Anolis sagrei: one gene and its partner. The protein of the gene in region 2 binds, or shares a complex with, the protein of the main gene of each other region. Links are inferred from orthologs where the notes say so. Each region holds a gene or a part of one and is shown on either strand. Other genes may lie near its edges.

What was found.
Region 1: the proteins of MAPK8IP1 (region 2) and MAPK10 are in contact, whole or in part, in a crystal structure (PDB 3PTG), measured with the Homo sapiens proteins. The link is inferred for Anolis sagrei from reciprocal best matches to the Homo sapiens genes MAPK8IP1 and MAPK10. Residues at the interface, in NP_005447.1 of Homo sapiens: Pro158, Lys159, Arg160, Pro161, Thr162, Thr163, Leu164, Asn165, Leu166; in NP_620448.1 of Homo sapiens: Asp150, Ala151, Gln155, Val156, Met159, Leu161, Glu164, Arg165, Tyr168, Leu169, Tyr171, Val197, Lys198, Ser199, Asp200, Cys201, Trp362, Asp364, Glu367.

What each region holds. Positions count from the first base shown.
Region 1 is NC_090025.1:19,258,569-19,273,911, forward strand, and holds the start of MAPK10 (mitogen-activated protein kinase 10), read right to left. Parts: upstream 5,622-15,343; 5' UTR 4,932-5,621; intron 4,768-4,931; exon of another isoform or gene 4,616-4,767; intron 1-4,615. UniProt on the Homo sapiens protein: Serine/threonine-protein kinase involved in various processes such as neuronal proliferation, differentiation, migration and programmed cell death.
Region 2 is NC_090021.1:277,857,917-277,872,630, reverse strand, and holds the start of MAPK8IP1 (C-Jun-amino-terminal kinase-interacting protein 1), read right to left. Parts: upstream 7,174-14,714; 5' UTR 6,807-7,173; coding exon 6,721-6,806; intron 1-6,720. UniProt on the Homo sapiens protein: The JNK-interacting protein (JIP) group of scaffold proteins selectively mediates JNK signaling by aggregating specific components of the MAPK cascade to form a functional JNK signaling module. Required for JNK activation in response to excitotoxic stress.

The DNA of each region.
Region 1 (15,343 bases), on a different chromosome or scaffold from region 2:
TCTGGAACACAACCTGAAGGGTAGCTTGCAGCTGCCACCAATCAGGACATTGACAGCGATGTAAAGGGCTTTACAGTATGGTGCCTATTTTATTAAGTGTCACATTTATATCCCATTCTTTCCCTATGTTGCTCAAAGCAAATATTTTATCTCATTTCCTCCCCACAAGTTTCGGAGATATAATAGCAAAACCATGTACACCATTTTTAGGCTGAGTATGCATTTGACCTCAAAGATCCTTGGGTTAATATATCTTGTCAATACACTATGGCTCATGCATCTATCAGGAACAGTTCAAGACATTTTGCTTCCTGAGACAAAATACAAGATCCCCTCCATTCCCAAGTGCATTTATAGACACTAACCAGATCAGCAGTTCAATCATACTTGTACACTGGTGGTGGCATAGTGTTTCCTAGTGTACTTGAGATATCATGCTAGTTTACATACAGGCAAACGTAGGAGATCTGGGCCTTCTCTGACATGGCTCCCCTGTTATGGAATAACCTTCCCTTGGAGGAACACTAGGCACTCACATTGCTATAATTTTTATGTCAGGTCAAAAAATGTTGTTTACAAAAGTTTTGGAAACCTAGCTTGAATATCAGAGATAGCAGGGCCTACATGGGCTATCTAGTCCAAACCCTCTGCTCAATGCCGGATATCCAACTAGAGTGCCCGGAGCAGGTTTTTGAAGTCATCAAGAGAAAGTGATCCCACTTCTTTTTATGTAATTGGCTCAATTTTTGACCCATCCTTAGCATCAAGATGCTCTTTCCAATGATCAGTCAAAATCTGCCCTCCTGCCTACCTCTATTTTATACCGATCTGTACAGTGGCATGGTTTTGAATTGTTTAAAAGTATTTTAATGGGTTCTAGTCTCTTTTTTAAAGCTTGTTACATGGTTTAATGTTTTTTAGCCCTTTGGTGGAATTTTATTATTTATACTGTTTCAATCTGATCATGCTGTGTTTTCCCCCCTACTGCCCTGAGATCTTTAGATACAGAACATGCTAGAAAAAATATATATACAAAATCTTTTGAGTCGAGAACTAACAGTCAGGAGGCTGGCATTGCTGCCCTCCAGAAAATGTCACCTGAAGAGATTGCTCATGGTGCTTTATAGTAGGTCAGCCTTGGTATTCTTTGCTATGCTATGGCTGTTTCTCTTTGGCTTCTCTTTGGCCCTTTGTGGTCCATCAAACAGTATGCTACTTTGAAGGAACTATATATGTACAATCTCTTCGTGGACAACAAGTTAAACATGAGCCAAAAATGTGATGTGGCGGCAAAAAAAGCCAATGGGATTTTGGCCTGCATTAATAGGAGCATAGTGTCTAGATCTAGGGAAGTAATGCTACCCCTCTATTCTGCTCTGGTTAGACCACACCTGGAATATTGTGTCCAATTCTGGGCACCACAATTCAAGAGAGATATTGACAAGCTGGAATGTGTCCAGAGGAGGGCGACTAAAATGATCAAGGGTTTCGAGAACAAGCCCTATGAGGAGCGGCTTAAGGAGCTGGGCATGTTTAGCCTGAAGAAGAGAAGGCTGAGAGGAGATATGATAGCCATGTATAAATATGTGAGAGGAAGCCACGGGGAGGAGGGAGCAAGCTTGTTTTCTGCTTCATTGGAGACTAGGACGTGGAACAATGGCTTCAAACTACAAGAAAGAAGATTCCATCTGAACATGAGGAAGAACTTCCTGACTGTGAGAGCCATTCAGCAGTGGAACTCTTTGCCCCGGAGTGTGGTGGAGGCTCCTTCTTTGGAAGCTTTTAAGCAGAGGCTGGATGGCCATCTGTCAGGGGTGATTTGAATGCAGTATTCCTGCTTCTTGGCAGGGGGTTGGACTGGATGGCCCATGAGGTCTCTTCCAACTCTTTGATTCTATGATTCTATGATTCTTCGTATGTGTGTGTGTGGGGGGGGGGGGCGGCGGCAAGGTAGCCATAACAAAACCCAAAAATGCCTAGAACCTTTGATGTTGCTCCAACGCCCCCTTCTCCACATACACAGAACACTTCCAACTCTGAGCATGAATTTGCAGTGTCTTCAGCAACAATTTTGCCTTCCAGTTATTGACCCCTATGCTAGGAAGCCAGCAAAACACAAACATATCTGAACACTCATCCTTGCTGGGAAGTACTCATAAACAGCTTCTCCCAGATCCAATAAACATGCACACATCTCTCAAGCCACAAGAGAGACAACTAGGTTACACAGCTATCATCTACGCAGGACTAGCCAGAGGTAGCTGGTATTTCCATTCTAAAAGATTCCCTCATTTTTCCTCTCCTAAATCAGACCAGCATTGCAAAGCCACCCTGCTGTGTTCCACCACAACAAACAGGACATTTGCAAAAATATTACATGCTCTGAAATGGTGAGGTAGAATAAGAGTCCATCTGGGAAAAGGGGAGGGAAGGGGGCCGGCTTTTGATTGAATAGCTCATATCACACCACCTCTGTCATTCATTTAACAATAACGGTGGGAGGGGGTTGGGGGAGGACGAGAACAACCAAGCACTCTACACCAGAAAAAAATGAGCAAGTATAATTTAGGGTTGTCAGATGTGTCCTGCTTTATTATTGGCACGTCTTATCCTAAGGGGACAGCCCCTCGCTTCACATCAGCAGCTCTCCTTTGCATTCCTTTGTTTTGAAATTTTAATCCAGCAGCTCTATGGATGGTACCTGATGGGGCAAAACTGGAAATACAACAAGGGGAAGGAGCCCTATGGAGGGAAAGAACTGTCAAACTCGAACACACACCATGGATTCTTCCGTCTCCAACTGCTTCCAACGTGCCCTAAAATCATTTCCTTCCTTCTTCATTCTCCTGTCATTGGAAGCAAGCCTGCTTGCATGTGGTTCAGCTCAACACAATCACTGTCTATCTTCCCTGTCAGCAGTTCTCTCTCTCTCTCTCTCTCTCTCTCTCTCTCTCTCTCATGCCCCCATCTTTATTGGCCTTGCATGAGAAGATCAGCAGACCCGTATAATCAAAACAGCGATGTTATCATCCACCCCTTTTATTTCTTTCCTTGGCCATCTTCATTTTCCTCTCCTTGAGGAGGAAAAAACCAAAACAGAAGAGACCAGGTTCTGTGTATGCATGCATGGATGAGCCATCTTTTTTGCAAGACACCAGAAAAAGAAATCACCCAGAGAGCCGGATGAGAAGATGGGAAAACTGCATTGGAGAAGCAACGGTGAGGCTCTGCAGCAAAAGGCACCCATGTAAACAAGCCTATGGCCACTGAGGATAAGAAAATAATAAAAAAATAATAAAGCATGCACACAAATGCAAACCCTCTCATTAGACCGATCCACTGAATTATGACCTCCAAGAGACAGCCATGCAAACTCTTTGTATCTTTTAACAGGGCCCGCATTGCAGAAAGGAGAAAAATGCTATCCGAACAAATTGTAAAAGCCGGGGCTGTCGAAAAGGCTATTCCGGTAAAAGCTCCATTGCTTTTGCTGCAGTCTTTAGATGCAATTGGAGAATGTCCCTTTACATGGCACAACCGGCTACCCACCCACTCACCCGCCCCCACTTCATGCTTGTCCTAAATTTTAGGTCTACCTTCAAAAGAAAGATGGATCTCTTATCCACTTTGCGTACATAGAATTGTTATGCAAGCCAGTGGGATGTTTATGTTCAGAAAGGACTTCCTGGTGACAAAAATAAAACCACTTGGATTTTCCATCCCCTTGTTTTCACCTCTGGACCCTCACCTTTATCTCATGCAGGGAGGGAGAAATATCCCACCAAGAGAGTTTTGGAGGGAGATACACTTTGGATTCCTTTTCAAGAGGGAGAGAGTAGAGGAAACAGAGAATAAGGTATGAGAATCAGGGAAGGAAAAGTGATTTTTTTAGAGAGAAAAACATTAATTATTATGTTTTGTTGTGTGTTTTCCAGGCTGTATGACCATGTTCCAGAAGCATTCTCTTCTGACGTTTTGCCTGCATCTATGACAGGCATCCTTGGAGGTTGTGAGGTCTCACAACCTCTGAGGATGCCTGTCATAGATGCAGGTGAAATGTCAGGAGAAGATGCTTCTGGAACATGGCCATACAGCCTGGAAAACTGAAAACAACCCTGTGATTCCAGCCATGCAAGCCTTCAACAATTACTAAGATAATTGTTACTAAGATAATTGTTACAATTACTAAAATAATAATTACTAAGATAATACTAAGACATTTACTAAGATAATACTAAGAAGGGATACAGCCCAAAAGACAGAAAACAACCCAGTGATTCCAGCCATGAAAGCGACAATACCTTAATTATTATGGTTACCTTGCCATCTTTGTTATGATGTGATCCACAACCCAACCCCCCCTTGCAAACAGATCCCATCCCTTGGCCCATGCTTCCCCGATTGAAAAACAAATAAACATGAAATAATGAGAGTCATGGTTCCTTTTCAAAGGACAGGAGAGGGAGGGGGGCGCGCACAGAGAGAAGCACAAGATACAGCAGAAGGAGCCCTGTGTTTACATCCCCCTCCACCCTCCTCCGGGAAGCCAATGCAGATCCTATCGCATCCCAAACCCGACCCAAAAGAGAGATGCAAACAAGCCGCGGCTACTAACCCCGACACCGGCCCAAAAGGATGCTGCCTTCCCGGTGGCCTGCGGTCCAGCTCTCGCCTCCCTGCTGCTTCTCTTAGCAGTTTACTTCATTAACCTGCCTCTCTCTCTCTATCTCTCTCTTTCTCTCTCTCTCCCTCCTCCACTCACGCACGCGCGCGCTCTCCCTCCTCCCCCTCCCCTCGATTATTTTTAACAGCAATCAATATTCATCAGCCCGCCTCCTCTCACAAAGACGAAGGGAAGGGAAAGGAGGGGGGTCTCAAAGCCCCAGCAGCCCCCCCCCCCTTCCCCATCTCTTCCCACATCCACCACCTACCATTCCAGTGCCTGCGCTCCAGACCCGCCTCTTGCCGGGGTCTTGGTTTGGCCCTCCTTGTGGCGACGTCAAGGGGTCTCTGGAAAGCGCCCCATTCTTACTGGGGAGGGAGAGAAGGGAAATGGGTAGCTTGGAGGGCTGGAAGAAGGGGATGGAAAGGAGAGAGGGGGATTGAGAGAGAGAGAGAGAGGAGAAAAGGAAAGAGGAGGATTTAGAGAATGGAGAACAGGAGATGGAAAGGAGAGAGGAGGATTGAGAGACAGGGAAGAACAGGGGATGGAAAGGAGAGAGGGGGAATTAGAGAGGGGAGAAATGGGGGTCTGTAGAGAGAGGTATAGAGAAAGGCGAAAGGAGAAAAGGAGGTGTATAGGGAGTCTGGTGATGGTCAACTATAGGAAGGTATATGTATTGGGGAGGAGAGGGGGTTGTAAGTGAGAGAGAGAACAGGAGGTGGAAAGGAGAGAGGGGGATTGAGAGAGAGAGAGGAGAAAAGGGGATGGAAAGGAAAGAGGAGGATTTAAAGAGAATGGAGAACAGGAGATGGAAAGGAGAGGGGGATTGAGAGAGAATGGAGGAAAGGGGATAGAAAGAAGAGGGGGGGATTGAGAGACAGGGCAGAACAGGGATGGAAATGACCCCCCTATTGAGAGAGAGGGGGAAGAAAAGGGGATCTGTTGAGAGAGAGATAGAGAGAAAGGCGAAAGGAGAAAAGGGGGTGTATGGTGATGGTCAACTATAGGAAGGTGTGTGTGTGGGGGGGGGAGGGGGTTGTAAGTGAGAGAGAGGAGAACAGGAGAGAGGAGGATTGAGAGAGAGGAGAGCAGGGGATAGGAAGGAAAGAGGAGGGTTTAGAGAGAATGGAGAACAGGAGATGGAAAGGAGAGAAGGGGACTGAGAGAGGGGAGAAAAGGGGATAGAAAGGAAAGAGAGGGGGGAGAAATGGGGATCTGCAGAGAGAGAGGTACAGATAAAGGCGAAAGGAGAAAAAGGGGTGTATAGGGAGTCTGATGTGGGGAGAAAGGGTTTTAAGTGAGAGAGAGGAAAACAGGAGATGGAAAGGAGAGAGGGAGATTGAGAGAGAGAGAGACGAACAGGTGATGGAAAGGAGAGAGGGGAAATTAGAGAGAGGGGAGAAAAAGAATCTGCAAAGAGAGAGGAGAGGTATAACGACGAAAGGAGAAAGGGGAGTGTATAGGGAATCTGGTGATGGTCAACTATAGGAAGGGATGTGTGTGGGGAGAGGGGGGTTTGCAAGTGAAGGAGGGATTTGGTGCCAAAGCTTATTCTTTTTGGAGATGGAGGCAAACGAAGCAATGGACTTCAAACTGGTGCGTAATATCAGTCACAGAAAGAAAGGGAGAGATGGAGAAAGAGAAGAGGAAGAGGAGGAGAAAGAAGCAGGAGGGACGGCTGGAAGGAAGGAAGGGAAGGTGTCCTGCTGAATCACCCTCTTTTACAATCTGGAGACCATTGGGCCTCGCTTGGTGGCGGCGCTGGAGAGGATGCTCCTGATGCTGCCGGCTGGACCATTGTGGGGAAAAGGAAGGGGGGGGGGAGCCGGCTTGGGGAATGGCGCTGCCATGGCAACGGGGAAGGAGCCCACGTGACGTCAAAGCCCAGCGAGGTCTCGGGAGGAGGGAGGGAGGGAGGGAAGGGGAGGGGAGGAGAGGGGGAGTCTAATCTGCAGCGCCAGCCATTGTATCTCCCTCCCCTCCTTTCCTGGTGAAATCTGCGAGGCCAAGGGGGGAAAAAATAGGAAAAAAGCAACGCTGAATAAGCTTCTGTGATGGTTTATCAGCAATAGCAGCTGGACTCTCAGGCCGAGTTGGCATGGAAGATGGCCAGAGCAATGGCCTTGGCTGGGCAGGGTGCTTATGACCTACTCAGAGCTTCCCACCACTGAGATGCAGCCCAGCCATGCACTAAATCCCAAAGTGCTTGATCTGGTCCAAGACAAGGACCACCTTGGTTTGCTCTTCGGTTCCACACCTTTCTCTTTCTGCATTCAGCTTTACCTTAGTAGGTTTGAGGCTACCTTTGGCCTCCCTATCCATGGATTCTGCATCTATCTACCCCAGGCTTGAGCAACTTGGGCTCTCCAGGTGTTTTGGACTTCAACTCCCACCATTCCTAACAGCCTCAGGCCCCTTCCTTTTCCCCCTCAGCCGCTTAAGCTGAAAGGAAAGGGCCTGAGGCTGTTAGGAATGGTGGGAGTTGAAGTCCAAAACACCTGGAGGGCCCAAGTTTGCCCAGGCCTGATCTACCCATTCCAAATAATCCCAGAAAGAATCTGAAAAGTAAAGCCTGCTTTTGCCATTTTATGTAAAGAATACCATTTTAATACTCCACTGTGTATATAACAGGGCTTGAGCACCCATAGATGTTAGGATCATTGGGGTCCTAGAACCCCATGGATACTATAATAATAATCTATATAAATAAAAATGTAGTGTTTGTTTGTGGGATTAACATAATTATTATTATTTTATTTTATTTTGGTTGCTTCTACCCCAACCTTCTCACCCCGGGATGGGGTGGGGGTGGTGTGGGGGACTCAGGGCGGCTTACAAAAGCAAGGCACAATTCGATGCCCGCATCACATATAGCAAAAGACAATAACATCAGTTAACAAAACAGCATTCTGGCAATAACAACAGTTAACAGAAAACAGTAATTAGTATAGGCAGAGACAACCATAAAACCAATAAAAGCAATAAAAACCAATACAAACCTCATTGATGGTCAGCGTTTCGCAATCTCATAGTTCAAAATTCCAATTCCACAATTGTCAGTCCTTTCAGTCCCATCCATCTGGCTGTCCATGTCTAATTGTCAGATTGCCCGAAGGCCTGGTCCCACAACCACATCTTTACCTTCCTCCTGAAGGAGAGGAGGGATGTTGATGCCCTAATTTCCCCCGAGAGTGAGTTCCACAGGTGAGGGGCCACCACTGAGAAGGCCCTGCTCCTCGTCCCCACCAGCCTCACTTGTGATAGCAGTGGGGTCGAGAGCAGGGCCTCCCCAGATGACCTCAAATTCCGGGGTGGGACATAGAGAGAGATACGTTCGGACAGATACGCTGGACCGGAACCATAACCAGCACCTAGAATTGTGCTTGGAATTTAACCGGCAGCCAGTGGAGCTGTCACAGCAGGGGGGTGGTATGCTCCCTGTATGTCGCTCCGGTAAGCAATCTGGCTGCTGCTCGCTGGACCAGTTGGAGTTTCCGAACAGTCTTCAAGGGCAACCCCACATAGAGTGCGTTGCAGTAGTCTATACGGGATGTAACAAGAGTGTGGACCACTGGATAACTCAAAAACCACTGGACGAATTGACAGGAAATTTGGACACAATACACCTATCAGGCCAACGAGTGACCATCACTCATAAAAACACTGAAAAACACAGCAGAAGGGACTTAAAAATCCAAAAAAAAGCTAAAAGATGCTACAAAGCATGTGCAAAAATGACTCTCCCTGGCAAACAAATCACACAATAGCATATCCACACTCTCTTCCGGAGTACAGCTCCCAGCAGCCCCTAGACCAGGAACTTTAGGAGAGGAGGATGATCCAAATGCACTGCTTCTAAGTGGCAAGCTTTCTTCTCCTTGGATTTCTTTGAGAGCATCCAAATCCCTGCATATTTCCCATTTCCTATTCCTGGACTGCAACTCCCAGCAATCCTCCAGATAAATCGATATAGATAGGTAGGTAGATGGATCAGGAGGACTGCTGGGTGTTGCAGTCCAAGAATAGGCAGAAAAGGAAGAAAGGGGAGAAAGCAGAAGGAAAAGAAAAGGGGGAAGGAAGGGAAGAGGAAGAGAAGGAAAGGAGGAGAGAAGGAAAGAAAAAAGGGAAGGAGAGAAAGAAAGGAGGAGAGAAAAAGGGAGGGAAGGTTGGCCACAGTAACGCGTGTAATATAATAATAAAACTTTATTTATACCCCACCACCATCTCCCCAAGTGAACTCGGGGCAGCTTACACAATGCCAAACCCAAAAATCACAACAAAGCAAATATACAACATAAAATAATACATCAATAAAATATAATAATAATAATAATAATAATAATAATAATAATAAACAGTACAAAATAGGCACACAATGCAATATAAAATCACAATAATAGAACACAATGGGCAAGGCCGGTTGCAAAGATTAAAATGTTTAAAAACTCTAGGTGAGATAAGTAATGTAGTGTATCTAGAAGGAGGTTCAAGTGGGATGAAACAATGGGGTTTAGTTGCACTAGAGGGTGAAATAAAGTGCATTCAAAGGAATTTTTATGTGTGGTTTAGTCAAGGTCAGGGATTATTGTTCATTCATTGAAGGCACACTGGAACAGCCATGTTTTTAGGCTCTTCCTGAAGTCTGCCAGGATGGGTGCTTGCCTCATTTCTCCGGGGAGCAAACTCCAGAGCTGAGGAGCCACCATAGAGAAGGCCCTCTCCCTCGTCCCCACAAGTCACACTTACAATGGGGGTGGGGGTGCGAGAAGGGCCGCTCCAGAAGATCAAAGGGATTATGTAGGTTCGTAGAAGGAAATGTGGTCACGAAGGTAGGCTGGTCCCAAACCATTCTAATAAAGTATAATGCTATACTTTATTTATTTATTTCCAGTATTTATATTCCACCCTTCTCACCCCCAAGGGGACTCAGGGCACATTACAGAACACATATATGGCAAACATTCAATGACAATTATACCATGACAATACAGACAACAGATAAAGGTATTTATATATGAGTTTCCCATTTTTCTGGCATCTTTGGAGGTTGTGCTCGGTTCCGGCCACAAGGGGTGCTATTGCTCCATCTCCTTGCCTAAAGGCTTTCTTTGTTCACAAACATTCCTCCTTTTTCTGATTGAAACATCATGCCTAAAACACCTCTCTGCTTAATGTGGTTTTAATTTATTTACTCCTGTTGCTGTTTTCAATCCGCTAGGTGGGCTGGGAGCTGGGCTGAAGGTCCGGAGCTCCCCCTGACCCGGCTTTGAAGTGTCAATCTTTCAGTTGGAAAGATTTATTGCAGCTGGTGACTAACCTGCTGTGCTGAAGCTGCTATCACAGAATCATAGAGTTGGAAGAGACCTTGTGGGCCATCCTGTCAAACCCGCTGCCAGGAAGCAGGAAAATCATATTCAAAGAACCCCCAACAGATGCCCATCCAGCCTCTTTTCAAAACCTCCAAAGAAGGAGCCTCCACCACACTCCGGGGCAGAGAGTTCCACTAATGAATAGCTCTCACAGTTAGTACCAAGCAATCACACAGCCAACCAGAACCCTGTATTCTATATCTTTCCCAAGCAAATGCCCTGCAGACCTATGATCAGCCCCCGCCCCTATACCCTTTCAATGAGGGCGATGGTACTTGCAATCCAATGTATCCAGAGGCACAGATTAGGCAGTGATTGATATGTACTTATATTCCATGTATCACAATATCATGGCTCAGTATATGGGGCTTCTAATTCTGGAAACAGAATGAAAAATGCAATAGAACAGTGGTTCTCAACCTGTGGGTCCCCAGATGTTTTGACCTTCAATTCTCAGAAAGCCTAACTGCTGGTAAACTGGCTGGGATTTCTGGGAGTTGTAGAGATTATTATTATTATTATTATTATTATTATTATTATTACTATTACTATTATTATTATTTAAAAGACACACAAAAATGACATAAAGAAGATGCAAAGAAGGTTGGGGGAGGGACCTGTTTTGTTTTGTTTTGTTTTTGCACAAACAAAAATTGAGAATACAAAGTTTTATCCTACTTTGCTGAAATCTGGCAACACTTCATAATGAATGGCTGTCTTGTGACTGAGAGTCTTGAAGTGTTGGGCCATCCTATGTTGTTGAGGATGGGAAATTTTGCACCAAGCCCCTTGCATCCTTATTACTTTTATACTAGTTCTTTGGTAGATGTGTGCATGTTCATTTTGGACCCTCTTTTGGGGAAAGACTCTAAGAGCTGTCAAGACAAACAACTGCACTTGAGAAATTGCTGTTACAAAGCTGGATGGAGTACATTCGCATTCAAATTTCTAGGCCTAGACCAAAGGAAAATTCATTCATTTTTCCAGGTATATAACAAGCCTTGCTTGTGAAAAGTAAAAATTCCTATATTATGTGCCTTTGAATGTAGCATCTCAGTCCCTGCCTTGACCTGGAATTCCTCAGAAACAGAAACAGAAAACCAATTTCCTAAGCTTCTCAGAATGGATGCTGTTTTCAAGCCGCAATTCAAAGTTAACCTTTCATTTCCCTTTTTCAGTCCCATCCATCTCGAGCAGCTGCAAGTAAAACAGTACTAAGCGAGTTGATGAGTTGCCCAGAAAATGGCAAGAGACAAGTCAGCCTCTGGTATCAAATGGAGATGAAACAGTGACCTAGAAAAGAAAAGATTTTTTTTACTCTTTCTTTTTTCGTTCCATTTTTTAAATGTTCAAAATTGATGAAATGAGATAATCAAGCAGTGGCTTTCTTGACTATGAAAATATATAAAAAGATATCTGCCAGGTCAATGAAAAAACATAGAAGTTATGCAGAGTTCTTTTTGGTCTAGCTTTTCTTCTTGCTGCTGTGGGATAAGGTGCATAGATAGCCAGAGGGCAAGGTTTGAGTCTCAGGAAGACTATAACTGTATTTTTTAGGGAATTGTCCATGAAATGATGTAGGTAATAGGGTTTTTTTCCATTGCTATTTTATTCCCCATCCCTTTGTTGGCTCCCCTGCTATCCTTCCTGGATTTTTTTCATTGGAACCTAAGCTAATCAGTATTAATATGGTAGGCCTGTCACTAAGCCTGACTAAGGCTTGGTCTTACCTCAAATATGTACAATGTCCACTGGGCACTCAGTTCAAGAAGGATATTGACAAGTTGAAATACATCAAAAGAAGGTTGGTCAAGATGAACAAAGGTCTGGAATGAAGACCTATAAGGAATGACTTATGGACTTGGGTATAGAAGAGAAGACTGAGAGTTGACATGATAACCATTTTTAAATATCGGAAGGACTATGATGCTAAAGACTGAGTAATCTTGTTTTCTACTGCTCCAGAGACTAGGTCACAAATCAATAGACTCAAATCACAAGAAAAGAGTTCCATCTAAACTAGCATTTCTCAACCTGGGGTTTGGGACCCCTGGGGGGGGGGTCACCGGGGGGTGCCAGACAGGGCACTAAAGATAATCAGAAAACAGTATTTTCTGTTAGTCATGGGAGTTTTGTATGGGAAGTTTGGCCAAATTATATCTTTGGTGGAGTTCAGAATGCTCTTTGATTGTAGATGAACTATAAATCCCAGAAACCACAACTTCAAAATGTCAAGGTCTATTTTTTCCCAAAATCCACAAGTGTTCACATATGAGCATATTGAGTATTTGTGCCAAGTTTGGTCTAGATCCATCATTGTTTTAGTCCACTGTGCTCTCTGGATGTAAGTGAACTACAATTCAAAAAATTAAGGTCAATGCCCACCAAACCCTTCCAGTATTTTCTGTTGGTCATGGGGGTTCTATGTGTGTCAAGTGTGGCTCAATTCCATCATTGGTAGAGTTCAGAATGCTCTTTGATTGTACGTGAAGTATAACTCCCAGCAACTACAACTCCCCAACCCCATCAGTATTCAAATTTGAATGTATTTGGTATTTGTGCCAAATTTGGTCCAGTGAAGGAAAATACATCCTGCACAGGCCCGTAGCCAGGATTTTGATTGGGGGGGGGGGCCGAGTTTGGTTCTGGGGGGGGGGGTGAGTTTGAGTGAAAGAGGGTCTATCCTAGCAAACCTTTTGTATCGTTACCCCAATACCCCCATGCATATGAGATATATTGAGTATGGTGATCAGATCATGATATGAATAAACATAACAGTTTAAATAATGTACCCGTAAGGCCTTCTTGAGAATTTGGGGGGAGGGGGCTGAAGCCCCTCAAGCCCCCCCCCCAGCTACATGCCTGATCCTGCATATCAGATATTTACATTATGATTCATAACAGTAGCAAAATTACAGTTATGAAGTAGCAACAAAAAAAATTTATGGTTGGGGGGTCACCACAACATGAGGAACTGTATTAAGGGGTTGGGGCATTCAGGAGGTTGGGAACCACTGACCTAAACTCAAGGGATAATTTATTAACAGTAACGGCTGTTCAACAGTGGATTAGACTACCGCAGAGGATGGTGGGCTCTCTATTTTGGGGGTTAGATGGCCATTTCTCTGGAGTGTTTTAGTTGTGTATTCCTGCATATCTGGAGATTTGACTAGAAAGCCCTTGTGGTCTTTTCAAAGTATGAGTTTATGTTCGCTCACAGATGGCTTCAGCACATCATTATATTCATCCTCCTTAGAGATAACTTCTCATGCTCTTAGGTGCACTACTGTAGAATTGCTGTCCAATACCAACACAATTGATGAGCACTAAATTCTTCATTTGTGCCTAAAGGTTTGTGTACAGAAGGTAGATTCTGTTTGCAAAATAACAAGCATCTCACTTAAACTCTTAGTGTACAGATTCGCCCATTGAAAACTCTTGAATGAACTGTGGAAAGCAGTGGCACTAATACGAGTCAATAGGGTTAGCTGTCTCTGCTGTTGTGTAGCACAATGGATTGTATTTTTAAGCCCACTTACAACCCACAAAAATGCCTGGGAGACAACACAGCCTAAGTTCTTTCAGAGGTTGAAAAGGGTCCCAAAAGTAATTACAGTATTTGTCTTCCGAACAACCAGGCTAATAGAAAATTGCATCTTCCCGGTAGCTGTCTTTTGCGATAAAGGAATTGTGTTTCCCACAGTCAGTCTCAGCCATATCAGCTTTGCAGTACACACACATCTAACAGCTGGTTGCACTTTGCTTCTCTCAATACTGTGCAGAGATGAACCACTGGGCAAAAAGAAGGCTTAAAGGCTATTATGTGGAAATCAGACTCCTGGTGGTAAATTTTAGCACATCATGGTGACTTCCGTAGCCCAAATCCTAAAAATAATCCATATTTATAGCCACTGGAGAGTGAGAGATTCTGGTTTCTATTATTTTAAACCACCAAAGGACCACACTAGAGCTAAATATTTAATCATGGGCCACAGGCATCCAAAACAAAGGCATCTGTAATAAAACCAGGCAATTAAATTCACAAGGCATAACAACAATCCTATGCTAAATTATCTGGACATAACATGACATAGGAAAATATGTTATCAGTTGATTAATTTGCTGAAACAAGAAAAATCTTTCCATAATGCTACTGTTCCAACAAGTTACATCATTACTTCTGCTCAATTAAAGTGGTGTCAAACTGCATTAATTCCATAGTGCAGATGCATGCTAAGTCTAGGGCCACCTAGTAATCCCAGTGCTGGAAAAAAAACCCTATGCTTTCTATGACACACTGATGTTTTCATTACTTAAACTTTGAAATGTTTATCATTCCAATTTTATTGAATTATAGATTTATAGAGTTGGAAGACACTTCATGGGCCATCCAGTTTAGCCCCCTGCCAAGAAGCAGGAAAATTCAAAGCACCCTGATAGATGACCATCCAGCTTCTACTTAAAAGCCTCCAAATAAGGAGCCTCCATCACTCTCCAGGGCAGAGAGTTCCACTGCTAAACAGCTCTCACAGTCAGGGAGTTCTTCCTAATGGTCAGGTGGAATCTCCTTTCCTGTAGTTTGAAGCCATTTTTCCATGTCCTAGTCTCCAGGGTAGCAGAAAACAAGCTTGCTCCTTTCTCCCTATGACTTCCCTTCACATATTTGTACATGGCTATCATATCTCCTCTCAGTCTTGTCTTCTGCAGGCTAAACATGCCCAGCTTTTTAAGCTGTTCCTCATAGGGCTTGTTCTCCTGATCCTTGATCATTTTTAGTTGCCCGTCTCTGGACACATTCCAGCTTATCAACATCTTCCTTCAATTGCGGTGCCCAGAATTGGACACACTATGATTCCAGGTGTTGTCTGACCAAGACAGAATAGAGACTAAATAGGGAACACGACTTCCCAGAATCTAGACACTATGCTCCTGTTAATGCAGGCCAAAATCCCATTGGATTTTTAAGCTGCCGCTTTAATATGCTGTTTGACATATTAAAGTATAGAGCAGCTATCAAATTAATATGGCTACATGCTTGCTTGGTGTGAGAAGATGAACAACCTGTGATCTTCAGAAAGTGAGACATAGGGGGCTTGGAAATGCTGAGGCTTGACATTGGGACAAATCAACAAGAATGGATCTTAAGAAGTTGATGGAATTGAGCCTGGCAACTGTAAGAAAACAATCTTTTAGCCCTGACCATTGCGAGATGAAACTCACCTTGGAATGGTGGCCCTTCACATGGGCACATGTTTCAGCTAGAATACAAACATGTCTGTCCACAAGTGGAATCCAGTTCTCATGACTGGCA
Region 2 (14,714 bases):
AGCTGCCCTGTCCCTGGAGCACAATATTTTGTGTTTCAAGCTCTATCAGCCATTCCAAAATTAAGTATCTAGTTAAATCATCCCTTGTTTTCACAAAATGAGGTTTCTGGAGGAGTTATATTAGAACTAGGGTGATTTAAATTATTTTATGGAATCTGAAGTCTAGATGAGCACTGAGAAACTCACATTTGCAGATAACATTCAGTTATTCAAAATGATGAAATCAAAGCAGACTATGAAGACATCTCTCTAAACTGGGTGAATGGGCAGCAACATGACAAATCAGATACAACTAAGTGCAAAATGACGCTTATGGGGATGCGGGGAGAGGGGGCTACACTTCACAAATACTGTATACCAGTGGTTCCCAACCTTTTTTTGACCAGGGACCACTTTGACCAGGAACCACTTGAACAGGGACCATTTGAACAGGGACTACTTTGACCAGGGACTGCTTTCCAACATTAGTACCAGAAGGGTGACAAATCAGTTTCTGGTCAACCTTAGATTCGGTTTGGTTATTTGGGATGCTGATTCAGAAAATTGCATCTAGTTTCTGATACGGAACATATGCCATCCGGTAGTTGCCATCTACTTGCCCACAGAAAACCATATTTAATAATCTAGAGCTGATGTGGAAGTAGCAATCTTTCGTGTGTAGTCAGCCTCTCCCCTCCTGACATCCCCATTGCGTTTGCACCATATGAGGGTTTTACGAGACCATGTTGCCGCATGGTTTTGAGGCAAGGTGTAATGGTGAGGCCCCAGACCATATTTTAATTCTTGCAGAGCACTGGTGGTCCACAAACCACAGGTGGGGAACCACTGCTGTATAGTGATGTGGTCTTAGTAGATTGTAGCTACTCGGGTGGGGGGGGGGGGGAGATCTGATGGCAATGATGAATAATTTGATAAAAACATTTACCCCGATGTCAGTACTGGTAAAAAGAAGCAACTACAAATTCTGAATTATTAGAAAGTGCTGGAAAATTAAAAGGCCAGGATAATTATGCATTTATATAAATCAAAGTTGCAGCTGCATTGGAAATACTGGCAATGACACAACTGGAGCAAGGGCGGAAAAGGGCAACATAATTTGTCAGGAGTTTCAAATACTTTAGCCTAACAGGAATAATTAATGGAGGAATGGGTAGAATGTGGTATTCAAGGTCAGAGCTTTCCAAACAGTGTGTCATGACCCTTACTATGTCCACTGCAGTGTGTAGGTGTGTCACATGAAGTAGGATAGTTAGTTATTGTAACCCTTGCTAGTTAACTTTATTCATTTGATTTACCTTAATTAACTTGAGTTCCTTCATGTTTGTTGTGTCCTCATACATTTTGTTATTACAAGTTATGTATGTGTCCCTATTGCTTATAAGGGATTGATTTAACCTCTAGTTTGCCAGTAAAACTGAATTACTGTGTTGAGAAATAATGCAAGTCTAGGTGTGTCACCAACTTGAAACATTTGGAACACTCTGGCCTAAATGCTGCTGGATGGCAATTTCCTTCAGACTTGGCCATAATAATTCCTGGTGAGGAATGCTAGGGGAATTACAGCCCAAAAGCATTTGAAGGGCCACATTTACCCCAGCCAGGAGCCCCCAGTGGTGCAATGGGGCTGCAGACCGAAAGGTTGATGGTTCGAAACTGGGGAGCGGGGTGAACTCCTGTCTGTCAGCTCCAGCTTCCCATGCAGGGACGTGAGAGAAGCCTCCCACAGGATGGGAAAATATCCGGATGCCTCCTGGGCAACATCCTTGCAGATGGCCAATTCTGTCACACCAGAAGCGACTTGCAGTTTCTCAAGTCGCACCTGACACAAAAAAGAAACTTAGCCCAGCCTGGGCTAAATAAGCGAACTAGGGCTTTTCAGTTTACTGGGAAAGCACAAGGTGGGCAAAGTGCTGAAAGATGCTTCTTAAAAGTCACTACTTTCACTTAAAAGTGGTCCCCCAAAACTATATTATTATAGTTCTAGCTACAGTTCTTTAAAAGTAGCATTTTTCATTCCTGTTTCACATAAATCATTCAAATAGACAACATTTTTTACCAGTATATGTGTGCAAAAAACCTAAATTAATCAAAACACTGGTTTGCAATACAAACAACACTTTCTTCCCATCCATTTCAGTGTCATCTCACAACAGAAAACGAGATGACAGCATAAGGTCTGCACAAGGCAATACTTGAACCATATTCCTTTTCTGTCATAATCCTATAAGCATAAAAGTAACTAAAAGTTACAGTTACCAAGCAAAAATGTATAAAGTTCCTTATTAAGTTACAATCACAATCATAGCTTCACTATTGGAGAATGTCGATATAATCACAATATCTTTGTTTGTTTTTATTTGTTTTGCTTTTTTTGGTCAATTGTTGTTTTGAGCTGGAGATGGAGGAAGTGTCACAGAGGTTAATTACACGGAGAACTGAGGTTACATGGTTTTTATTGTTTTCACTACTGTTATTTTTATATTCCTTTGTGCTCTGCCCAGAGAACACTTGTAATGGGATGGCTATACAGTAATCAATAAATCAATAAATCTTACAGTGACACCAGAGGCACTCCAAGTGGCCAGCTTCTAGTCAAAGGACATTTAGTATAATGTCAAGTTTTAATTTTTGTGTTTTTAAATACATGATAAATTTGCTTCTGACATGATAAATAAATATCAATCAATAAATAAATATTTTCATCCTTCATACAATACTCAAACTTGGAATTGTCAAGTTAAACAGATTAATAGTACACTACTATCCCCATATCTGTGGGGTTGATGTCCATGGTTTCACTCACTCATATCCCAAAATGTGTCCTCTCTATGCATTTTCTAGGTCCTTCAACACAATTTCATGGTTTGTTTCTGTTGGATATTGACCACAGAGTCAGGCTAGGACCCAGAAATGTTAGAGAGGTGTTCTTGCTAGGCCTTTTCTAGGTCTTCCAGAATGATTCTATGGTATGCTTCTTCCAGAAGTCATTCATTTCAATAAGATTTGCTATTATCCCTTGTTTTGCATTTCCACAATAAGCCCGGGAATGGTAAGTCGAGATATGAGGATGAGGATATTTAGTTTCAGGGCAGGCAAAATAAAAGTACTTCTTCAAACAATGGATGATTAATCTATACTATTCATTGACACAAGGTGTTGAATGGCTTTAAAAGGGGGTTGATCTATTTTTTCGAAGACAGGACTATCATTGTGTTGTCGAAACCTTTCATGGCTGGAATCACTGGGTTGCTGTGAGTTTTCCAGGCTGCCTGGCCATGTTCCAGAAGCATTCTCTCATGACATTTCACCCATATCTATGGCAGGCATCCCCAGAGGTTGTGAGGTCTCACAAACTCCGAGGAAGCCTGCCACAGTTGTGGGCAAAACGTTGGGAGAGAATGCTTCTGGAACATGGCTACACAGCCCAGAAAAACTCACAGTAACCCAGAACTGTCGTGCAAAGAAAATGGAACCTTCAACTTCATCAGTAGCATTTCTTTATGAAGAATGTGGTATGCTGATTCAAGCATACCACATTTATTTTATTTTATAACCAACGAGGCATGGATTTGTTTGGCCACCCTTGGCATGACTCACTGGATGGCATTGGGTCACTCAATCATTTTGAGCTTGCCCACTTCACAGGGTAGTTGTGAAGATAACACGGGGAAGAAGGAGAACTGTAGTTGTTGCCTTGAGTTCCTTGGCTGTATATGTGACCATAAAATCCAGAGGAGGATTGTGCCAGGCATGCCAGCTTATGAATACCCAGAAAGAACCTCCCATTAGATCAGTGGTTCTCAACCTATGGGTCCCCAGGTGTTTTGGCCTGCAACTTCCAGAAATCCCAGTCAGTTTACCAGCTGTTAGGCTTTCTGGAAGTTGAAGGCCAAAACATCTGGGGACCCACAGGCTGCATTAGATGGACCAGTTATCTTATCTAATAGGGAACTAAATAAAATGAAATGAAATAATTAAAATAGAGAAATGTTGAAGACCATCCTGGTTATCTATCCTGAATTAGAGATGGGAAATGTGTGATCCTCCAGATATAGTTGGGTTACAACTCTCTTCAGCCTTGGTCAGCATAAGCAACAAAGCAGCCCAACTACATCTGGAAGACCATGAGTAACTCATCCTGGTTCTAGATTTTGTTCCTAACTCTGTTCTTTTCTTCTCCAGATCTGAATGCTTATGGAAGCAAATCAAAAGAAAACAAAATTGTGTGTGTGTGGTGGTGAGGTGGGGCGGGAGGACATGGCATGCTTCCCTCTTTTTTCATGGAGATCAGAGATTGCTCAGGGTTGTTTGAGTTTTCTGGGCTGTATGGCCATGTTCCAGAAGCATTCTCTCCTGATGTTTTGCTTGCATCTATGGCAGGCATCCTCAGAGGATGTGAGGTCTGTTGGAAACTAGAAAAATGGGGTTTATATATCTGTGGAATGTCCAGGGTGGGAGAAAGAATTCTTGTCTTTTTGAAGTACATGTGAATGGCCATACAGCCTGGAAAACTCACAACAACCCAGGGATTCCAACCATGGAAGCCTTTGACAATACAGAGATTGTTCTTCTAGCATTGTACGTATCTGGACTAGATGAAAAGAAAGCAGTGGTTTCTTTTTGACATCTGAAAATGCCACGTGACAAAGTTTTATGGTCTCTTGTAAAGGTTAAATATTAGGCTTCTGAAAGCTCAAGCTTGTAAGAAGCAGACTTGAATAATGTAAGCTAATCTAGTGGCGTCATCACTGTATCAGAGATGTTTTTATTTGTAGGTAGCTTCTTTGCCCATTACTGTTTGTGACAAGTCATAGACTGGATAGGCTGGAGACAGGGTTGCCTTTTCTATGGGGAATCTTGGTTCTGGAGACAACTTGATAATTGAAGGTTTTCATGACCGGAATTACTGGATTACTGTGAGTTTTCTGGGCTGTATGGCCATGTTCCAGAAGCATTCTCTCCTGACGTTTCCCCCACATCTATGGCAGGCATCCTCAGAGGTTGTGAGGATCTCACAACCTCTGAGGATGCCTGCCATAGAAGTGAGTGAAACATCAGGAGAGAATGCTTCTGGAAAATTGCCATATAGTCTGGAAAACTCACAGCAACCCAATCTTCTCTTACTAACATTCAGATCCCAAGATACACAAGACAAACAGACAGCTCTACTCAGACAAAACCCATTAAGTCACAGAAAATCTCATTTACAAAGTCATAATCAATCACTAAAAACCCCATCATCTTCCATTCCCAGCCCCATGAAAAGTGACATATTTTCTTGCAACCAGTCCAGGTTGAAGGCACTCTAAAAATCTTGCAACATGGAGAATCGATTGAGGAGCTTAGTTTCTCTTCCAGTTCAGAAAACATTTCCCTCTGCAATGCTTTCAAATCAGAAAACATACTGGATATTTAGAAACCAATAATCATAGGTTTGTAAAGACAATTCTTAATTCCCACAATTAAAAAGCAGATAAACATAGAACACAAACCAGACACAAGCAATTAAATGAGCAAACATGGAGGAGCTGAATTGCTACCCAGAGGCAGGATGTACCTTCAGTGGTAGGATCATGTTACAATGTTCAAGAAATCATCTCAATAGCCTATGCAAAGATGCTTGAAACAGGTGGTTTCAAGGCCTGTCTGGTTTGTATTGTCACTTCATCCTTGTAAACATGACATTTTTTCTCCTAATGGTTCAAATCCAATATGGTGTCTAATATTTACCACCCTGATTCAATCAGCTATAAATCTGCCTTCAGGATTGGCTTCCAGATTCACTTGGAAGAATAGGGAGAGGGGCTGCTTCACGGATGTCCATGTTTATCAGTGTGGCGGTCGCTATTTCCTGGGAAGATGCAAGATTTGTCTGTGGAAGCTGCTGATATGGAAGGAATAATGAGGGGAATATGTAGGGAGGTCAGAAACAGTGTGAGGTAGTGCTTGGATTCAGATAGGGTTGTGTTGGGTGTAATACTGTGGGGCTGAGATAAGGAGAACAAGGAAGCAGGGGTGTCTGTGCCAGGCAGCTTGAATGTCAGTGATATTTGGAAGATGTGAGGAGGGACAACACCCCCCCTTCCAAATAACCTCTTTCCTTCCAAATCAGCAAGACAAATGCCACTCCTCCTCCTCCTCCCCCCAGCCCTGGTTGTTCTGTTCCAGAGGCGCACACGTCAGCCACACTCCTGTGCCCCACCTGTTCCAGAAAGGGAGAGGCGCTATTGGCACCCACCTGCTGGGCAATGCCACCATTCAGAGGATGTGTGGGGAAGATAGATTACCCACTGCACCCATTATTGCCTCTTGGTTCCTTAGAAAGGTGCCTGAAATGGAGGAAATATGGGAATGGGGGTGGGTGGGTGTTCCATTTCTCCCCACCACCTCCTCATCTTTCAGTGCAGAGCATCTTTCACCTGCATCCTTATAATAAACATTCAGCTGAAATAGACAGATTGATAGACAGGCAGAGAGGAAGGATGGAAAGGTTCTTTCAAAGCACATAGGCTAAAGGGGGGGGGGTGTTGTGGGAGGGGGTCTATGAGAATCCATTGGGGAAGGGAAGGTGGGCAAGTGGGGGGCAGAAAGGAGGCTGTGGCTCCCCCTTTTCCTCCTCCTCCATCTCCTCTTCCCTTGTCCTTCTCCCCCAGCATCTCCTTCTGGGAAGGGCCCCCAAGGATGAGAGAGAGGGGAAGGAAGGAAGGAAGGCTCCCCTACCTGAAATTGGGAGGCGAGGCGAGGTGCAAGCCCAGGAACGGGGAGGATCCGGTCGGGGACGTGGCTCCTTTCTCTCTATCCGCCATTCTCCCTCTCCATGCAGGCGGGCAGGGGAGGAGGAGGAGGAGGAAGATGAAGAAGAGGAGGAGGAGGCAAGAGGCTGCTGATGCTGGTAGAAAGGCAGAGAGAGACAGGCGAAGAAGGCAGGGCTGAACTGGTGCTGCCCCAGAGCAGGCGCGGTTTCAGCAGCTGGGAAGGTAGGAGGAGAGCAGGGAGCGGGTGAGGAGGGGGAGAAAGCAGGGGTCCCTCTCCTCCTCCTCCTCCTCTTCTGCAAGGGGAGCTTGGCCCCCTCCCCTCTCCTCTCCTCTCCTCGCTGGCGCCCCGGGGAGCTGCGGCGGAGGCAGGTGAAGCCGGGCCGCCCCTCGTCGCCAGGCAGGTGGCCGCGAAAAGGAGGGGCAGCACGGCGTCAGCAAAGGCGGAGGAGGAGGAGAAGGAGGAGCCCCTCCAGAAAGGACCAGGGGGAAGCAGGTGGGTGGGTGGGAGGCAGGGAGGGAGGGAGGCCAGAAGGAAGGGAGGGAGGGAGGGAGGGAGGGAGGAAGGAAGGAAGGAAGGAAGGAAGGAAGGAAGGAAGGAAGGAAGGAAGGAAGGAAGGAAGGAGAGATTGATGGAGGGAAGGAAGGAAGACGGGAGGGAGGGAGAGAAAGAGAAGAAGGAGGGAGGGAGAGAAAGAGAAGGAAGGAAGACAGGAGGGAGAGAGAGAAGGAAGGGAGGGAGAGAAAGGGAAGGAAGGAATACGGAAGGAAGGAGAGAAAGAGAGAAGGAAGGAAGGAGGGAGAGAAAGAGAAGGAAGGAGGGAGGGAGGGAGAGAGAGGAGGAAGGAAGGAAGGAAAGAGGGAGGCAGAGAAAGAAAAGGAAAGAAAAGAAAAGGAAGGCAGGCGGGAAGGAGAGAAAAAGAGAAGGAAAGAAAAAGTGAAGGAGAGAAAGGGAAGGAAGGAAGGAAGGAAGAAAAAAAGAAGGAAAGGGCAGCTCTTCTTTGTGAAAAGCTAGGGAGGCAATTAGAGAAGGAAGGGCTTGACTGCTGGCCCTTCCAGACAGGCCCAATATCCCAGGATCTGATCCCAGCTTTTCTGTTTATCCCAGATTATCTGGCAGTGGGGATTCATATCATCCAATTTAAAGTAGAAAACCTAGGATCAGATCCTGGGGTATAGGGCCTGTCTGGAAGGGCCCTGGGAAGATGGGCTCACCTTCCAAGCCTTTCGGGGAGGAAGAGATGATAATGATGATGGTTGTGGTTTATTATTCCAGTATATTTTAACTGTATATTGTTGACTGTTATATTATGCTGTAAACCGCGTTGAGTCGCCGGCTAGGCTGAGAAACGGCGGTATATAAGTATTTAAATAAATAAATAAATAGAGTTTCACTTATCCAACATAAACGGGCCGGCAGAATGTTGGCTAAGTGAAAAGGTTGGATAATAAGGAGGGATGAAGAAAAAGCCTGTTAAACATCAACATATATTATGACTTTACAAAGTAAGCACCATAACATCATGTTTTACAACAAATCGATAGAAAAAGCAGTTCAATACATAGTAACATTATGTAGTAATTACTGTATTCATGAATTTAGCACCAAAACATCTCAATGTATTGGAAGAGCAGTGAAACTGGGCAGGAGACAGACTGCGTTGGATAATACAGAATGTTGGATGAATGAAGGTTGGATAATCAAGACTCTATTGCTATTTTGAGTATTCCTTCTCCAAAATGCTTAGGACCAGAAATGTTTTGGGTTTCAGATATTTTTTCCCCAGGATTTTGGAACCCCTGTCTTTTCACAGACATACATCCTTCATCTTGGAGATGGAACCCAAGTCTAAACATAACATTGATTTACGCTTCATAAACATCTTATATACAAGCTCATGTTATAGACAATATTTTTCAATAATGTTATGCATGACACGATTTGGATACATTGAACCATTAGAAAGCAACAGTTTCAGTCTCTCAGCCACTCATGTGGACAGTTTCAGGTTTAGAAGCATTTCAGGTTCCAGAATTCTGGGTAAGGGGTGCTCAAAATGTAATGATGATAGAACTAATTAAATCCCATGTCCTCAGAAAGTCTTTAATGACAAGCTGTTTGTTGTTGTTGTTGTTGTTCAGTGCCATGCCCCCTTGAAAGTCTTTGATTATGAAGATAGGACAGGCATGGGCAAACTTCGGCCCTCCAAGTGTTTTGGAATTCAACTCCCACAATTCCTAACAGCCTCAGGCCCCTTCCTTTTCCTCCTCAGCCAAGTGGCTGAGGAGGAAAAGGAAGAGGCCTTAGGCTGATAGGAATTGTGGGAGTCGAAGGCCAAAAGACCTGGAGGGCCGAAGTTTGCCCATGCCTGAGATAGATAGCAATGACAATTCAGTGCCAAGGGTGTGTGCACTGCATTTCCCTGCTTAAACATGTGAGCGAGGGGAGGTCCAGTGAAAAAGAAGGGAATCTCAAATAAGAACCACCAAGTCCCCTATTATTTAAGGCCACTTTTTTCTTGAGGATTACTGGGATGAAATCGTAAGGGTATGGCTTCTTTGTATTGATTACATTCATGTTCATATATGTTTCAATTTACAGTGATCCCATTAATTTGTCTTTGGCAAGGAATACTTAGAGGTGGTTTTGCCAGTTCCTTCCTCTAAAAAGTAGCTTCCAGCTCTTAATTTTCATTGACCATCTCCTCTGCTGTTTATCTAAGCATTTCAAGGCAGTAGAAAGGCAACTCCGCCTCACTGTCAGCAGGGAAGGAAGCTTAAGCAGAGCCAGAATGAATGAGCAATGGTTATCCAGTGAGCGCACGGAAGAGCAGAAATTTGAATCTGTGACCAGCCTCTCTTCCTAACCAAATACGGCTCTACCTCCACTCTTGCTCTCAACTTCAACAGGATTCGTATATAGGTGATCTGGGAAGGAATTCCAAGCATGAGTAGCAAGAGAGAATAAGAGGAAGGAAATCTTTCAGTACCTGTCTTAAGAGGTGAGCATAAAAGAAGGAAAGATTATGGATAGGATATAAGAAGAAACAGGCAGAAACATGGGGTAAAATGAGTCAAAATTGGATAGGGTGGAACAAAACCATAAAGATCTTTCAAGACAAGGGCAACGTCCTCATGCTAGATGGCAGATGGAATGAATGACTAAATGTAAAGTCCTGAGAAAAAGGACTGGAACTCTAGTAATGAGTAAGTTGAATAATGTAATGTACTGGCTTTTTATTCTATTGCAAGAGCCTGAAATTAGCAATATTATTTATTTATATTTTTTTAAAGAGCAGCTTTACAGAATACACATATGGCAAACATTCAATGCCGATTATGCAATAACAGGACAGACCACACAACAGAGGTAAAGGCAGTTTTCCCCATCTTATTTCTGGCATCTTGAAGACTGTGCTTGACTCCAGCCATGGTTGGGGTGGAGGTATTTAAGGCACGTGGAGGTATTTAAGGCACACATAAGAAAATGCCAGAAAAAATGCCAGCCATTTGATCAAGGAGGAAGTTTACAAGCAAAGCTCTTTGGCAGGGAAAGTGGAGTGGCAGCACCCTCCACCTCTCCCCATGGCCGGATCCAAGCACAGTCTCCAACATGCGGAAGATGGGAAAGCCTATATATACCTCTTTTTATGTACAGTCATGTGTCCTGTCAATGTATAACAGCACTGAATGTTTGCGTGTATGTGTTCTGTGATCCACCCTGAGTCCCCTTCAGGGTGGATCACAGAGTGAATACTGTATATAAAATGGAATAAATGAAACTATTTCTAAGTACGGAAGTTCTTCCTTAGGAAAACCTCATCAAATTCATAGGGTCTCCGTAAGTCAACCGATGTCTTGAAGGCTCATATATACAAACTTCAAGACAAAGACTATCTCATAAGGTTTTTGTTCCCTACCAAACCCACAAGGTAGTTATTAACTGTACAAAGATCAACCAAAAATACTATCCTTCTTAAAGCATAACAAAGAAAAGTCTCCCACTGCAGCAATGTTATTACAACGAAACCTGAATAATTTGTTTCCTTTTCATATCACAGAATCAGCTGCTTGAAGCTTCTCAGTCCGATGGTTCTTACAGGCGGGAAATGAAATAAAATCCAAGGATTATTAAACCAATTTAAATGTAACACTATGACACTAATATATAGAATATCTTAATATTTAGAGACAACCAGGTATTCTGCCTCAGGAAAGCTTTCTAAAAATCTACATGGAAATCAAGCACTCATCTGGAACCATATCTGCTATGATTTGTGTCAGAAAAACACTGTCACATCACTACAGCCTTTTTAGTGTTATATAGAGCCCAAAACCTCCATTATTTGAATTTACTGAGCAGATATATTGGGGAAAAGGTAGGGCATACCCCATAATTCTATTTCAAACCCATTGCTCGGTAAATCAGCGCATTATGCTTGTTAAAGTGTCAGCTTCAGTCCATGTTCTGTGGAGGCATACCCAAGATAATTTAATCTGAAAAGGTGGACATTCATGCTAGAAACACTACTATGCAATCATCGGAGTGCAGCAAAGGAGTGAGCTTTTCTACTCCCTCTGTTATTATGGCTGTATCTAGTGAGTATTAAGTGCAGATGTAGAGAGTGACAGTTATAGTGCTTTCTGTGTTCAGAAGCATTTCTTGGCTTCACATTTCATGGATTTCTCATTTTAATGTTTCTTTGTACAAGTTTTTTTGTTTCTATTGTCTGCAGCCAGACTAGGAAGGACAAAACTTGGTAATATCATTTTAACCCTGGAAAGCCATTGGCATGGTTACGTTCTAGTACAGTGGTTCCAAACCAGTGTTCCATGGACCATAAGTGGTTCACAAGAATGAAAATATGGTCCACGGTTTACCATTACTCCACCGTTGCCTTGAAACCACGTGGCAATGAGAGCAACTGGTCTCGCAAAACCCTCTAATAGTGCCGAAGCACTACCTGCGAAAGATTACTACTATAACATCAGCTCTAGATTATTAAATATGGTTTTCTATGGGCAAGCAGATGGTGACTACTGGATGGCATATGTCTGAATCAGAAACTAGAGCTGATATGGTCTATCCAGTGCAATTTTCTGAATCAGCACCCCCAAATAACCAAACCAAATCTAAAGTTGACCAAAAACTGATTCGTAATCCTTTTGGTACTAATGTTGGAAAGTGGTCCCTGGTCAAAGTGGTCCCTGTTCAAACGGTCCCTGTTCCTGGTCAAAAAAAGGTTGGGAACCACTGTTCTAGTAAGAATCCATGATCCAGAGATGGAAATCCCAGTATCCTTTAAATGTTTTTGGATTGTAAATCCCAGCAGCTCTAGCACAACTAATGAAGTAGGATACTGGGAGCTGCAGTTCAACAACATCTCCAGGACTCCACTATCCTCAACCTGCAATGAATCAATCTAAGAGATAGAAAATGACCAAGAGGAAACCAGCTATATTAAACTGGAATATTTCTTAAGTACTGTACAGCATTGTGCTTTTCTTCTTTCCTCCACAGTAACGATCTAAGATTTAAGACTCTAGGTGTTGATTTTAAATTGCTGATACTTAAAAAGAAGAACATTAGCTTTCCCTTGATAATTGTGAGCATAAGTGCAAAACAATTTATGTTGCTTTCTGCAGCGCTAATGGAACCCCAGCCAGAAAATAGCTTGACAGGCAATAGGAAACTATGATGTGTAAGGAACCAGAATTGCACTCATAGTCTCATCCAGCAATTCTCTATAACAAAAAGCTTTTGATATACAATTGAAAAGTAAGCACTGGTCCGGTGACAACATAAACTAAGATAGCTCCATCTTGATTAACACAAAATTAGTTTTAAAAATCTATTTTATCGATGTCTATTTACACTTACACTGTTTTTTAAATAAATTATAAACATAAAGCCTTAGAAAAAAATTACAAACAAAAATTACGTTTCTGTTGAAGATAACATTGGGTTGTTGTGAGTTTTCTGGGCTGTTTGGCTATGTTCCAGAAGCATTCTCTCCTGACATTTCACCCACATCTATGGCAGGTATCCTCAGAGGTTGAGGGGTCTGTTGGAAACTAGGCAAGGGAGGTTTATATATCTGTGGAAGGTCCAGGGTGGGAGAAAGAACTCTTGTCTGCTTGAGGCAAGTGTGAACGTTGCAGTTGACCACCTTGATTACCATTTAATGGCCATACAGCTTCAAAGCCTGACTGGTTGTTGCTGGGAGAATCCTTTGTTGGGAGGTGTTAGCCCGGCCCTGATTGATTCTTGTCTGAAATTCCCCTGGATTCTGGCCATATAAGCCTTCAACAACACAAAGATAACATTACAAGGATTGTATGGCTACTAATGGTTTACAGTACATTAAGGAAGAGGTTTGTTAAAAGCCAGGAGCAATGTATTAAAGCTTAATTGTTAAGGTAAACAAGTCCAGGAATTAGCAGCCATAAGTTTCATAATTGTCCACGGAATATTACAGCCATAATGCATTTGTCCTATGCACTTTTCCCTTGGAGCCAGCATTACCAAATGCAATGATAATATATTCTGATCAAACATGCAAAGAATTGCATTGAATTTATAAATCTGGGCTTCACAATAATGGTTTGTCACATTTGAGATGGAATACACTAAATGCAATTTCTATCCTATTGAAAGAAAAAATATGGTGCAGAAATGATTTTTTAAAAGTGTATTTCAGTGTTTTTCTAGGAAACAATTTTATATATCTCTTTTGAAAAAGCAAAACAATTTCAATCGAACATTGGGAACTAGTATAGTGTAGTGCTGAGTGTTATAAAAGGATGCTGGGAACTAGAGTTTGAATTCCTGCTCAACCATGGAAATTCACCCCGTAAGTCGCACTTTTAACCTCAGACGAAAGCAATGGCAAGCTTCTCCAAATAAGCCTTGCCAAGAAAACCTATAGATGCCATATTCCTGCAATGACTTGAGGAACACAACTGCTAAGTTTATCTAATTAAAATCCGAGTTTCTTTCTTCTCCAACTATATTGGGAAATATTTATTCCAATAGTTGAAGGCAATGTTTCTCAGGCAATAGTGAAAATTATCCACCCATCTTTTTAAGCACAGGCAATGATCTCATCCGTTTATTGTTTTTTCAGTTCTGACCCATTTTCTTGAATCATCGAAGTCTAATTCTAACAATCTTCTTAATTGTCAGCCCCCAAAATAGTGCTTTAGATTGGGTGCCCCCCCACCCTCCATTTCCTTCTGGGGAGTAAAATATTGAATTGGCGATTCTATTTTTATTTGTTCCTGCTAACCAAGTTTTTATTGAGTTGTCCCATTTCTTGATTATTTTATTGGGGATATGATAGGACTTGGAACAGGACTAAATATTTGGGGAGAATCATTGTAACAGATTGGCCTACCCTAAAGGGATGTTGTGTAAAGGGTTGGTGTAAAAGGCAGAAGCTAGGCCCAGCTTGCTGAAACTAAGCAGAGCTGAGGGGTGGAGCGATCAGGCAATCTCTAGGTCAGAAGTGCAGCCCGATTGGCTGATGGAATTGGAGGGAAAAGCTCAGGAGTGGAGCCTGAGGCAGAGGGAATAAGATGAAGCAGCCATTTTAAGATCAGTTAGGAATTTGGGATGGAAGGAGGAGTTAGGGTTTTGGAAATAAAGAAGGACAAGGAGTTGTGAAGGGGGGAAGGAAGAGAATTGGGAAATGTTTTGTTATAGAAAAGATACTTCTTTGAGGAATAATAGTTATTAGGCCTCTATAGGGTTTAGAGTGCTGTGTAGGAGGGAGATTTCAAAATGGTTTAAAGGGTTCCTGTTTGGATTTCTATGTGTGGAACTTTGTTTTTAAAGAAACTAAAGATAAAAGTACCATTCACTGTAACCAGTTTTTTAAAAAATAATTGGTGACACCTGGTGGGATACCCCTAGTTGGTGGGACATTATTTGCTATAGTTATCATTTTGACTGTCTTAATT